Linked DNA regions of Mus musculus. The protein of the gene in region 2 interacts with the protein of the main gene of each other region in a biochemical or structural test. Links are inferred from orthologs where the notes say so. Each region holds a gene or a part of one and is shown on either strand. Other genes may lie near its edges.

The links.
Region 1: of the proteins of Malt1 (region 2) and Relb, one has a biochemical effect on the other in vitro, tested with the Homo sapiens proteins (2 studies listed by BioGRID). The link is inferred for Mus musculus from reciprocal best matches to the Homo sapiens genes MALT1 and RELB.

What each region holds. Positions count from the first base shown.
Region 1 is NC_000073.6:19,626,639-19,632,598, reverse strand, and holds the start of Relb (transcription factor RelB), read left to right. Parts: upstream 1-3,160; 5' UTR 3,161-3,356; coding exon 3,357-3,408; intron 3,409-3,804; exon of another isoform or gene 3,805-3,991; intron 3,992-4,117; exon of another isoform or gene 4,118-4,523; intron 4,524-4,628; coding exon 4,629-4,676; intron 4,677-5,960.
Region 2 is NC_000084.6:65,427,558-65,435,116, forward strand, and holds the start of Malt1 (mucosa-associated lymphoid tissue lymphoma translocation protein 1 homolog), read left to right. Parts: upstream 1-3,432; 5' UTR 3,433-3,614; coding exon 3,615-3,841; intron 3,842-7,559. UniProt on the Homo sapiens protein: Protease that enhances BCL10-induced activation: acts via formation of CBM complexes that channel adaptive and innate immune signaling downstream of CARD domain-containing proteins (CARD9, CARD11 and CARD14) to activate NF-kappa-B and MAP kinase p38 pathways which stimulate expression of genes encoding pro-inflammatory cytokines and chemokines.

The DNA.
Region 1 (5,960 bases), on a different chromosome or scaffold from region 2:
CTCAAGAGCCTAACTGTCCATACCAGGAGCAGGGCCTGCTTACCCTCTCTAGGAGAATGACAGCCATTGGGGGTACTCACTACACCTTCCCAGACTGTAGGATCAGCAGTGCTGCAAGGAGGCACTGGCCCAACCCCAGGTTGCTTCAGGCTCCACCTACTTCTCCCTGCTGAGTCAAGCAGGGATGGTGCCTCACAGGTAGGTATCATACCCACTCTCCTTGCTGGGCTCCCCTTCCACCTGCTGACCCAGTGCTCTCAGAAGACAGCTAATGTGATCCCCAGGGGGCTGCTGCATGTCCCCAGCCTTTGTCTCATGCTCTGCCACAGCCTCACCTCTAGCCCCAGTCTCTCAAGTCCTTTCTGGGACACAAGTACCTTCAGGATACAATTGGTGGTGTTCCCAGGCACCCCTTACCGCCTAGTCCTGAGGCTCTGCCCACTGGTACATCATGGCAAGGAGACTTCCTTCACTGGACCAAGACCTGTGAAAACATGACTGTATCCTAGCCACTCTGGTGCCATTTGCTTTCACGGACATCTGGACATATCCAGTGCCCTTATTGGGGTACTGGTGGATGGGTCTCTATTAACCCTTCGCAAGTCTGTCTGGGCAAACAGCACAAAACAGTTCTGTGTACACAGTAGGACCAGCATTCCATGGCAGTTCTGAGGAGCTCACAACTTAGCAGAATTCTAGGTAGTGTTGGGCACAGTGGTTATTCCCCATCCTTGATTTTGAGAGGTCAATCCAGATTTAAAAACTTTCAGCTAGCCTGGGCTACAAAACAAGACTTGGCATAGTGGCACACACTTGTAATCCTGGCACTTGGGAGGTGGAGGCAGAAGGGTCAGGACATCAAAGTCATCCTCACTGCTTTGAGTTGGGTCTGAGGGGCTGGAGAGATGGCTCCTCTGTTACAGGCTAGGCTCACAACCAGAAATAGAAGCTGGGTCTGAGGCCAGCCTGGGCTATTTAACACCTTGTTTGAAAGAATAAAAAATGGAAAACACCATGGATGCACCATGTACTGTCCCCAACTTTGAGAACAGTGTCCAGCATTGTTGCTGTGTGTGTGTGTGTGTGTGTGTGTGTGTGTTCACAACAGCTCTTTGAAGTTTGTGATATTCTGTACCTCCAGATGAGAAACTCAGTTGTTTTTTTTTTTCCCAGCTGGCCATGGGATCACACACATTTAATCATGGTACTCAGGAGTCAGAGGCCAGCCTGGTGTATGTACCCTAACAAGTATTTAGTAGTTTGAATAGTGCAGGTGCATGGAAGACCTGTGTCAAGAGTCAACTAGACTACCTCCTTAAGTCTTTAAAGCCATCCTGTTAAGAAACTCAAGTCCAGAGTGGTGAAATCAGTTGCCTGGAATTGCATAATTGTCCAGGAAACCTAGTATTTGAACACAGGATATTTGATTCAGGACCTTCCAATTACAACTCTCTTGAGAGAGATTGCTTGTCTTTTCATTCAGGGTCTTGCTATAAGTAGTCCAGACTGGCCTAGAACTCGTGGTGATTTCCTGCCTCAGACTTTCAAGTGTTTTAAGTTACTCGTGTGAGCTGTCATACCTGGCTCTCAGTTTTGCTTTTGAATTCACAGTCGTGTCTCAGATCCAGGCAATCAACACAGGTCCTCCAACATGCTAGGCAGGTGCTCTACCACTAAGCCACACCACCAGCCCAATTTTCCCCCTCTTCTCCCCCTTCTTTTTTGTTTTATTTTGTTGGTTTGCGTTGAGACAAGGGCCTGCTATGCAGTGGAACTCACTACTTGTCAGTGGATCTCCTGCCTCTGTCTGTCCAGAATGGGCATATTGTGGCTACAATATCTTTCTGTGTGCTGCTGAGAACACAGCCTAGAATCTCATACATGCTAGACAAGCATTCTATCACAAGCCACATCCTCAGCACTACAGTTGGAAAACCTCAAGGAAAGCAGTGATTGGTGTGTGTGTGTGTGTGACTGGCAAGCTTATTCTATGGGAGATGTCCACTCCTGGGCTTGCTTATGACACTGGAACATTTCCCTCTGGTACAAAGTGAAAAAGAATATGATTCAGTGTGAAAGTTACATGATATTCCCATTTCTATATTTATCAAATTATGTTCTAATAGAACATAGCCACATCCCTGTTTCTGGTCCTTGGCTGTTTATGTAAGATGGCACATTTGAAAATTAAGACCATTTGGTTCTCAAAGCCTGAGCCTAATGTCTTTCATTGCAAGAAAAGGTTTGCTCTAAGCTGGACGTGATGGTAGGTGCCTGGGATCCCCAGGACTCAGGCTGAAGCAGATGGATTATCATGAATTCAATGTCAACCAGAGCTACATAGCAAAACCAAAACAATGCTCTTTGCTTTGGTGTGCAACAGTAGATACCGGTGCCACATCATTCACTGCTGCAGTTTTCTGCCTCTGGAGCAAGAAGTGGGCCTGGTTTTAGTAATGCTGTACCCTAGTTTTCATTACAGGCTGCAGCATATGGCAAGTGCTTAATTATGCGTAGGTTGCTTGAATCATTGATCACACATGCTATGATAGAAGGGGAATGGAACATACAAGTTTCTATAGGTTTCTATAGGTTATAGGTGCCATATATCACCAACGGGCTGGGACTGTAGCTCAGTATTCATGAAGCCCTGGGTTCAACACTCAGTGCTGCATAGACTAGGTGGTGGTTCATGCCTGTCGTCCCAGCACTGTGGAGGGACGAATCTGAAGGATCCATGGGGGCAAAAGGATCTGCAGTTCAAGGTCATCGGTCTGGGCAAGATGAGACCCTATGTAAATTTTACTTCAAACAAATTATCAATGGCTGCTAACTTCCCACTCCTGGCTTCATTTGCCAGCCTGAAAGATAGCAGGTTCAAGCCCTCGTAGGGGAAATGGAATGCCCATTTCTCAGCTTGTTCTGTGGGTAGGGCGCAAGTGGACCCGGACGGACCTCAGTGGTCTTGGCCAAGGCAATGGGCAGCGACTCGCACCCGGACCCTGCGAAGTGCCAAGCCTTCGCTTCCCGGCCGACCCCGCCCCCGCAGTCACGTGAGCAGCGGGGGTTTTCCCATTCCCTTTGACGTGACGTCACGGAGGGGTACGAGCCAATGGGTGCGCAGGCCGGCGGCGCCGGGGAATTCCGCCGCCCCGCCCCCGCCCGCCGCCCGCTCGGCCCGGCGCCCCCCGCAGCCCCGGGCGCCGTGCGTCCAGCCCGGCCTTCGGCCCTAGCCTTGCACCGCTTGCCCGGCCGGTGATCGTCCCAGCCGACCGGGCTGTCCGACTGCCCGGCTTGCCCTCGTGTGCGCTCGCCCTGAGCTGGCCTTCGGGCTGTCGGTCCCTACGGGCCGGGCCATGCCGAGTCGCCGCGCTGCCAGAGAGTCCGCGCCCGAGCTAGGGGCCTTGGGTAAGCAGAGTGGAACCTCTGGGGCGGGGCTCGGGCTCGGGGAGTTCGGGGCGCTCGGAGTCATCTGCGGGTTTCCGCAGGATTCGCGCTTCGGTGCGGAGAGTACAAGGGTGGCGGGGACACTGCGCGAGGGATAAGGCAGAAGGTAGAGGATGGTGAAGGGTCTTGCCGGGGAGATACAGGCTAGGCGTCCCGCTAAGGAGTGAGAAGGGGGCGGGGCCTGAGCCTGAGGCAAAGAAGGGGGCGGGCCGGGCGGCGGTCGAGAGGAGGGGCGGGGCATAACTCTGAAGGGGAGGAGCCATACACACAGGGGCGGGGCAAACTCAGAGGAGGCTTCTGGTTTACAGAGTGGGTGAGGCTGCTCTTAGGAGTAAGGGGCGGAGCCTAATTCGAGGAAGTGGCTTTATTCTCTCCAAACAAGGGGGACCCTTCTCCCGCAAGGCTTAGGCCTTTAGAGGCAAAGAAAGAGGCGGGGCCCAGCTTCAAGATTTAAGGAGGAGCGGTGCCTGACCTCGAGGAGGAGGATCCAGGACTGTGCTTGACAGGAAATAGGGGCGGGGTCAGGCTCCAAGAGCAAGAAGAGGTGTGTGGCTCAGTGAGTGGGCGGGACTTACCCTTGGGTTGGGGTGGGGGAAAGTGGGGCGTAGTGGCAGGTCTAGGGAAAGGGCAGGGCCTGTTTAGAAAACGAAGGGCGGGGCCTGACGATGGGATTGAAAAGGGGCGGGGCCTGCAGCGAGATGGGGGAGAGGAAAGTTCTCCAGTGACGAAGTATTGGGGCTCGGATTTCGCCCTGAGGGAAGAACGGAGACGGGGGTTTTCCTGAGGCATCAGGAGTCCTCCAAGTCCCACCTTAATGGGGAAAGTAGCGGATATTGAGTGATGATTGGCGGAGTCAAAGGCAGAAACGAAAAGCCAGAACTTTTTTCAAGAGTTAGAGAAGAGCCGGTTGTGGTGGCGCACTTGGGAGGCAGAGGCAGGCGGATTTCTGAGTTCGAGGCCAGCCTGGTCTACAAAGTGAGTTCCAGGACAGCTCAGGGCTATACAGAAAAACACTGTCTCGAAAAACCAAGAAAAAAAAAAAGGAGTTAGAGAAGGCTGGCCTGCACCTGAGCTCGGTAAGGAGGAGGGACTTTATTCAAGGGACCAAGCCAGAGAGAGGAGCAGGCTCATCAGAGTCTCTGGTCCTGCATTGTTTGTTAATCCAGGTCTCCATCTCACAGGTTCCAGTGACCTCTCTTCCCTGTCACTAACGGTCTCCAGGACCACAGGTGAGCAACCCCCACAGCCCCTGCCCACCTGCTTGTAGGAAATGGGATTGGAGGAGCCCCCGTGGAGAGGGAATGAGTGTACCCACTTTGCAAGCTTTGTCTGTTGGTACTCTGTCTGTACTCCACCCCCACATTTCTCTGGCAATAGCCAGGTAGTCCTGGCTCACTATAAAAGGGGCTGATGCATCCCCTCCATCTTGCTCCCTTGCTCCCCTCTCTCCCCATTCCCTTTCCCCTTCTCTCCACGTGGTCATGGCTGGCCTCTACTTCTCTACTTCTCTCTGCCTTTCTCTGCTTCTACTACTCTCTTTTTTGTTTGTTTTGTTTTTCGAGACAGGGTTTCTCTGTGTAGCCCTGGCTGTCCTGGAACTCACTTTGTAGACCAGGCTGGCCTCAAACTCAGAAATCCGCCTGCCTCTGTCTCCCAAGTGCTGGGGTTAAAGGCGAGCGCCACCACGCCCGGCTTCTACTACTCTCTTAACTCCCCTCCCCATGCCCTAAATAAACTCTGTTCTATACTATACCGACCTTCAACCTTCGAGTGGCTGGTCCCTCAGGGAAGGGATGCCTTGGCATGGGCCCACGGAGGCACCCCCTTCCCCCATACCTCACCACACACCTTAAAACATATATTAGTACCCCTTTTTCATTTTATAATCACAGCGTTGTCTCTCCCTGTTTTATTCCTTACGTGCCCATATTGTCAAGACTGTTAGAAGCTTGTATAGTTCTATTTGCTGACCCCCTAAGTAAAGGCTCTTTTAGATGTTCTCCATCATCCATTATTTTGGGCCTTGGAACTGAATTTCAGACATGATGTTACCACCCCCTCACGTGATTTCCCTAAAACTACCTCAGTTTTATTCATCTGTTTCATACCCATTTGTTCCTTTTTGGAGATAGAGAAAGTTAAATGAGTTGATGCTTACAAATTCATAGCCTTCCAGTTCATAGTAGCTGTTAGTGGCATAGTCATGATAATAAGAGTAATAATAGCAGTTAGTTAGACTATCATAGTTCTCAGACCATGTCCATTTAAATTATCTAGACCCTTGGTGAAGCAGGGAGAGGGAGCAGGCAGTGATGGTCTATTCCTTTATACTCAGGCAGATCTCTGTGAGGCCAGCCTGGTCTACATAGTGAGGCAGGCAGATCTCAGTGAGGTCAGCCAGGGCTACATAGTGAGTTCCAGGACAGCCAGGTCTACAGGAAGAGACCCTGCCTCAACAACAACAACTATTGCCAGTAAAAGCAGTACATGCCTATACTGTTCTGTAATGTTCC
Region 2 (7,559 bases):
GCTATGCTGATCAGGTGTCCGCACTAAGTTTGGCATTAATATGGTGATCTCTCTGGAGCGGGGGGGGGGGGTGGGGGGTGGGGGGGGGAGAACCACCAGGTTGTCTAAGGAGGGGTGAACCGGCCCAGGTAGGAAACGGAGCAGGTCAAAACTCCCGTGTTGAACAGTAGTGGGATCTCGCCTGTGAATAGTAGTAACAGTAGTGAATAGCCACTGCACTCCAGCCTGGGAAACATAGTGAGACACCATCTCTTTTAAGAAAAAAAGAAAGGGCTGGAGAGATGATGGCTCAGCGGTTAAGAGCACCAACTGCTCTTCTGGAGGTCCTGACTTCAAATCCCAGCACCCACATGGTGGCTCACAACCATCTGTAATGAGGTCTGATGCTCCTCTGGTGTGCCTGAAGACAGCTACAGTGTACTTACATATAATAATAAATAATAAAATGTTAAAAAAGAAAAAAGAAAAGCTAAGGTCATCTGAGATGAAGAAATCTCATTTGGGAAAAACTGCTACCGGAATGCCTGTAAGCAAGTCTGAGGGACTTATTCTTGATTGGTGTAGGAGGGACAAGCTCACTGTGGGCAGTGCCGTCGCTGCGCAGCTGTACAAAAATGCAATCTGAGCAAGCCATGGAGGCGAAGCAGTAAGCCACATTCCCTATTTGGTCTCTGCATGGGTTCCTGCCCTGCTTGAGTTCCTACCCTGACTTCCCTCGATGATGGTAAGATGAAATAAACCCTTTCCTCTAAATTGTTTCTGGTAGCGGTGTTCACCACAGCAACAGGAATCAAACCTGTTGGCCCAGGAGTCTTGGTTCACACAACAAAAGTCATCTCATGCTGCATTCCTCAAAAGACATTCCCACCCTTAAGTAATGCTATGCCTACTTCTCCCAATCATTATCTTGATAGGTACCAGTATCTTCCACCTCTTAAGGGCATAGAAATTAAAGCTCGGACAAGTTCAATAACGCGTCCACTTGGATGTCAGTTATAAGTGGCGGCATCAAACTATGAACTCACATTTATGTCCCAGAAGTGAAAATTAGGTGATAGAAATATGAGGATTTTTATTAAGAAGAGAAATAGATCAACCATAAAAATGCAATGCCTATCAAAGTACTGAGTGGAGAGTAGTGGGGAAGGTGACTGAGTAGATTAGGAGGTGGGAGATGTGAGAGGCACAAAGCAGGGGAATGGGAAGGGAGTGGACATGGTACTTAGCTGAGCTATGCTGAGTAAAGATGGGCTGAACCCAGGAAGGACAGCCACAGGGTAAATGGTGTGAGCCAGCGTTCAGGACCCTTTCACATAGAAGCCGCTGCCGCCTACGCCACAGCTAGCACCAGTGGATAAGTCGGTCTGGAAGGGGAAATTAGGCTATCGGATTTAAATTAAAATGTAGAGTGCCAATAGATTAGAAAACTTAGGGCTGGGGATGCAACACAGCTGAAAGAGTGCTTGTCTAGCACATGAGAGGCCTTGGGCTCCATTCCCAGGTCTTCATAGAACTAAGCATGGTGGTGAATGCTTATAATCCCAGCTCTCAGGAGGTGAAGCGGGGAAGAAGTTTAAGGGCAGCCTGGACTACATGAGACTCTATCCCCCAAATACACACACACACACACACAATCTAGAAGGTTTTTAATGTCCATAATGCACACATAGATAATAGGAAATTGTCCAATGATTAAGAAAAACATAAACACTAAAAAAAAAATGGGGAAAGTTTTCCAATTCAGGTTAAATGTGAAATGGGCCTCTGTACTGTGAAGGATAAAATGGTCAGTATCTGGTATGTGCCAGTCATTGAATTGAGTGTTTTAACAGTAACAAATATTTTCATCCTGGCAATAATTCTATATAATATAATCCAGTTCCATTTTAACTGGGGAGGGACAGAAATCAACTTAGTAAAGTCATAAAACCAAACCTAGCAGATCTTTCTGAACCCACACTCATACTTAGTCATTACACCCATGAACTCTGAACTTAAACTGGACTTAAAAAAAAAAAAAACCCTCAGTGATTGGATGTACTAGAACATGGTGAGAATCTGGTCATTCAAAGGACTGCTGCAGAAACCCCTGCTGTCTGATGAAAAAACTAAAGGCAAGATAAACTGGGCAGGAAAGGCTTGTATCGCAGAACTACCTGACTGGCTACAAGTTGTTTGTTCCTGTGCCAAACAAGCCTATAGTTTCCAAAGGGTTAACAGCCTTTGCTATGGATGAGGTGAGGTGAGAGTTTAAGAGTGGGTCCTGTCAAGCTTAGTCTAGATCAGTGGTTCTCAACCTTCCTAATGCTTTAATACAGTTTCTCATGCTGTAGTGACCCCCAACCGTAAATTTCTGTTGCTACTTCATAACTGTAATTTTGCTACTGTTATGAACTGGAATGTAAAATCTGTGGTTTACAATGGTCTTCTTAGTCGACGACTGTGAAAGGGTCATTTGACTACTCCTCCCACCCCCACCCCCTCTCCAGGAGTCATGACCTACAGGTTGAGAACTGTTGGTCTATATAATCCAGGGGAACTGCTTAGAATATGAACATTGTGTGTGACAGTCTGATCTGAGGACACCACACCATTACTGCTAAGATAAAATATCCCCAGGATCTAATTAGTTAAAATACACTAGAAGTATTTGGGTTTTGCTGCTCAGCTATTGTGGAGCCGAGGATGGACCCAGAGCTTTAGGCATGCTAGAACAGAGGCCCACCACCGAACTGCACCGTTGAATCCTCCGATAAGAAAATCGAATCTTTTTAAAAGTCTCGAAAAGATTTCGGTCAATTCCCTTATGAGTATCTGAATCTCTGGCTCCATTACTTCCCTCTGGCAAACCCCTCCACTTGCAGAGGAAGCGTCTGAGGTTGCCCAATGGGCTGAGCTGGTGGCCTCTTGGGGGACTCCGCACACTCGCAAGCCCAAAGGTCTGCTGAGAGCGGACGCGCGTAGGGGCGCCTCCGGGAAGCGCGTGCTACCCTCTCCGGTGTGAGGTAAGCATCCTCCCACGGTCCCGGGAAGCTCCTACGCCGCAGGCTTCCTAACTGTGCCAGTTCCTCCGCCGCTTCCTCCAACACACCCACCCATCCCATCTCTTCCTGCTCCACTGACTCTGAAGCGGCAGGGGACGTGCGGCCTCACGCCCCGCCCATACTATGCCCCGCCCCCAAGGCTAGCATTTCCCCAGTGACCGAGGCAGCGGTCCACAGCCCGAAGTCAAGCCCCGCCCTTGCCTCCCGGCCCGGGTCGCTACAGGTGAAACTGTTTGTTCTGATGAGCTTGCCCCGCCCTATGCCCCGCCCCCGAACTCTTCGCTCCTTGCCAGTGGGGAAGCGCCACCCAAGCCCCGCCCATACACTAGCAGGCAGGACCCGCCCCCGGAGCCCGCCCCTCTTCTCCGCTGGCGCCCCGCGCGGCTTCACAGGGGGAACCTGTTTCGCAGCCCGGGAGCAGTGCTTCTTCCTGTGAGGGCCTCGCCGTGCAGCCACTTCTCCTTCCGCTCCTGCGGCTCCCGGGACGGCGAGAGGCAAGCGGAAGGTGCGCGAACGCCGAGGCCTGAGGTGACCGGCGGGAGCTGGGCAGTCGAGGCCACCGGCGTAGCCATGTCGCTGTGGGGGCAGCCGCTGCAGGCCTCACCTCCCCTGGCCGTGCGGCAGCCCCCTACCGCGTCCTCGGGACCTTCGACCTCCCCTCCAGCCGGCGCAACCCTCAACCGCCTGCCCGAGCCGCTGCTGCGGAGGCTCAGCGAGAGCTTGGACCGCGCTCCGGAGGGCCGGGGCTGGCGGCAGCTGGCCGAGCTGGCGGGCAGTCGGGGACGCCTCCGGCTCAGGTGAGCGGGACCGTCAGGCGGGCGGAGGGGTGTGCTCCGTGGTACGGAGTCGCGTGAGACCGACTTGGGCTCCGGAGTCGGGAAGGGACTGGCCCTAATGGCCCAGTGGCCCCTTCATATCTTCCCGACCCTCCTCCGCCCCTGAAGCTGGAAAGCGATCTCTGCAAGTTCACAGGTTTGTGTTAAGTGTAGGGACGCTTATCTGCAGGGTTGTAATCCAGTGGGGTTTAAAGCAAAAAACAGAGATGTGGACCCAGCCCTCGGTACCCAAAGGGTGGTCTGGAATGACTCCGGTAGGTAAAGAGGTGAAGCGTGCAAGGGTTCCTGGAGGAAGAGACTGGATCTAAACTCATCGTCGTCTACAGTCCCACGAGTTTACCAGTCTTCACTATGAACATTAGACTCTTAAGAAATTAAACGACTTTCCCGGCTGAGAAAAGAGACCACTGACGTGACTTGGGGCCACAGTCAGTGTTTCTTAAAATCTGGGATCTCAAGACTTCTCCCCTCCTGAGAATTATGGAAGACCACAAATAACCTTTGTGTGCCTTCTATATATTTTGCAGGTGTGCACGGATATTCTACTTGAAAGTCAAACTATTAACTCTTAAAATATTTATCTTAAAAGTAATTCTTGCGTGGTAGCAGAAATGATGTCAGGTTTTTTTTTTTTTTCTTCAGAAAAAGTTTGTCCAAAAAACAAATAGAGCATTGGTTAACATTTTTTAAATCTGTTGCTTTGAAGTTTTTGTTTGGTTGGCTGGTTGGTTGGTTGCTTTGGTTTGGTTTTTTGTTTTTGGTTTTTGTTTGTTTGTTTGTTTTTGTTTTTAAACAAGATCTTGCTATGTAGTTTAACCTGTCCACAGATTTCTCTGTCCTCCTGTTTCAGTCTCCCTAATGCTGGGATTTCAAACTGGCATCATATATTGAAGTCTTTTTCTTCTTGGTTTTTGAGACAGGATCTCACTGTATATAGCCTGAGGTGGCCTGAACACTATCATCAACCAGTCTGATCTGGATCTTGTAGCAGTTTTCTTACCTCAGACTGCTGAATGCCTTGTACATCTTTATGGTGCCTTAATTTAATTGCAGAGCTATATTCTTTTCTATATTTGATTCATTCTATTACAGTGTCATAAGTATCAGAACTCTAGAAACTTCTCTTTTAAGAATAAATAGAAAATAGGGTCTTAGTACTATTATGAAAAAATGCTTTACCCTTATAAACAACCTTGAAAGTAGTCTTAGGAACTACACTAGGTGTTCCCTGACAGAACTTTGGACCACTGCTTTGTACCGTTGTCAAGATTTCAGCCTGTCCTTTAACTTCTCTAATTTCTTGTCAAATAACTAAGCTTTGATTTTTACTGTAATTATTTGTATACATCTTTATAAGCTTAGGGACAGAAGTCATTTCTTATTTTGTGCTAAGAACTTCTCTTAGGCAAATACATTTTAAGTAGAGAGAGGAATCCTTTGTTCAAGATTGTATTTGTTGAGTGCTTCTTATTAGCTGGAAGTTCTAATCAACCATTATTTGGGTGCAATCACAGTATATATCTATATGGTGCTGTTTAAAAGCATTATCTACTTTAACATTCCCGACAACTGTGAGCTTCAGAGTTTAGGATTGAGGTGAAGAGTATAATGTTGCTGTAGGATTATTGCTCAAGTAAAAAAGGCTCATGTTGCCTGACTTTTAAAAAAATCAGAAAATGACAACTAAGCTGGACACATACCTATAATCCTAGCACTTGGGAGGTAGAGGCAGGAGGATCAAGGAGTTCAAGACCAGCGTCAGGTACACGAGACTCTGTCTCGGAGAAGAAGTCAGATAAACAGTGAACTAGCAAAGCTGAGCAGACAAAGGACATGAGTTCTGTACTGGGAAAAATACCTTGGGCTTTGGGTTTTACAAAGTAGGTCCAAAGTATCATTCAAGCTCCATAAATTTCTCAACTTCTAGACTTTCATAATACAAGAAATCGTTTCCTTTGTGGGTAGATCTGCAGAGTATTCCAGTGTTAATTGTAAAGCCAGTTATGGAAGGCCCTAGACTTCCTGGAGAGAGCCTAGATGGTGATGAAGACTAAAAGTCAATATACCAAGCCCTGCCTAAAAGAAGCATGACTACTAGACTACAAACGGTTTGGGTACTTAGTGCTGGGTATTAAGTTTCTCTTCTTAAGCCTTCAGTACCATTTTGCTAAGTAAACTGTAGTGTTAACTGTTTTGGGGGGAGGAACTTAGAGAAAAGTTTGAAGCCACTTTAGGAGGAGTAGTATGGAAAGAAGGCCAGTTACTTATTGTTCATTTTTAGAATCTTAGAATTCAAGGTAGAGAGTCTGATACAGTGTTTTATTTAGTTTATATAAAACTATGTTTAGTTTCATGAGTCTTCCAAGATGGTGTTAGATAGCTCTGTGTGGGTTAATTGGGGGTGGGAGGAGTGGAGAATCTGGAAGTACTAAACTCATATCAATTGAGATTAGAAGAATCAGTTGCCATTAAAAGTTAGTACTGAAAGCCAGGCATGGTGGTGCACACTAATCCCAGCATTCAGGAAACAGAGGTAGGCAGATCAATGTGAATTCTCTGCCAGCCAGTGCTACATAAGACGCTGTCACAAAAACAATAACAGAAGTTAGCACTGAAAACCTGGGGCTGGAGTATATGAGCCAAAGGGATATGCAGGGTCAGCTGGTGATTGTTATTATTATGTCTAGTATTGTTTGAAAAGTTCAAATGACTTCATACTAATGAAAGGAAGGCATCTGATGGTAGACGGTCATAAAGGCCTTCTCCTCTGATTGCAGTGTGAGCGTCTGCTTGAGGGTGTGTAACAAGTCAGGGGAGAATGTGAATTACTTTTCTAAGTCGTTGAATTCACAGCCCTAATCTCAAAATTTTGCCCTTTGTGTTTATTTTTCTCTTTCTTTTTTTATCGGCTTGAGACCAGGTCTTACTTTCATAGACCAGGCTAGCCTCAAAGTTATCATGATCCTCCCCCCTCTGCGTTTTGAGTGCCACCATGCTCAGCCTCTTGCCACATTTTTTCCCTCGGCCTTTACATCTTTCTTTAAATTACATGAGAATTTAATAATACAAATCATAGTAAGAGTCCATTCTGCATTGTCCTCAGAGATTAGGAATATTGAAAATGTTTTTACAGTTGATTAATGATGTGATTATTGGTGAGATTATTGATGATTCAGATTGAATCGTTGCATGTACTCTAGTTTCCAATAACTACTGACCCTGATTCTGTTCAAACTGATCTAATATCAGGTACTTTAAATACAGGATTTCTATTGCCCTAGCTAACCTGGATCTTGTTATCTAGACAGAGCTAGCAGTGAACACAAAAGAGATCTTCCTCTGCCCTTAGGTGCAGAAATTAAAGGCATGTTCCACGCTGTTTGGATAAAATTGGATGCTGCCTTCTTCCAGTTTAGACATACTCTTAGTGTGCCAACATATGTTAATTGGTGGTGAGTGGAACGGCTAAACTACAAGGATTGGCAGAACTTTCAGAAAGCTTAAAGTATCTAAATCCTCTAAGCAGAGCGCTTGAGAGTGGGGCTGTGAAACATGAACCGAGGGGAAACCATCTGTTGCTGCTTGTCTGCAGTGTAGAAGATGCTCTTTAGTTGCAGAAGTCCTACCCTCCAGCAGATGATGATAAAAATGGAAACATATTAAAAAGATGAATGAGAGT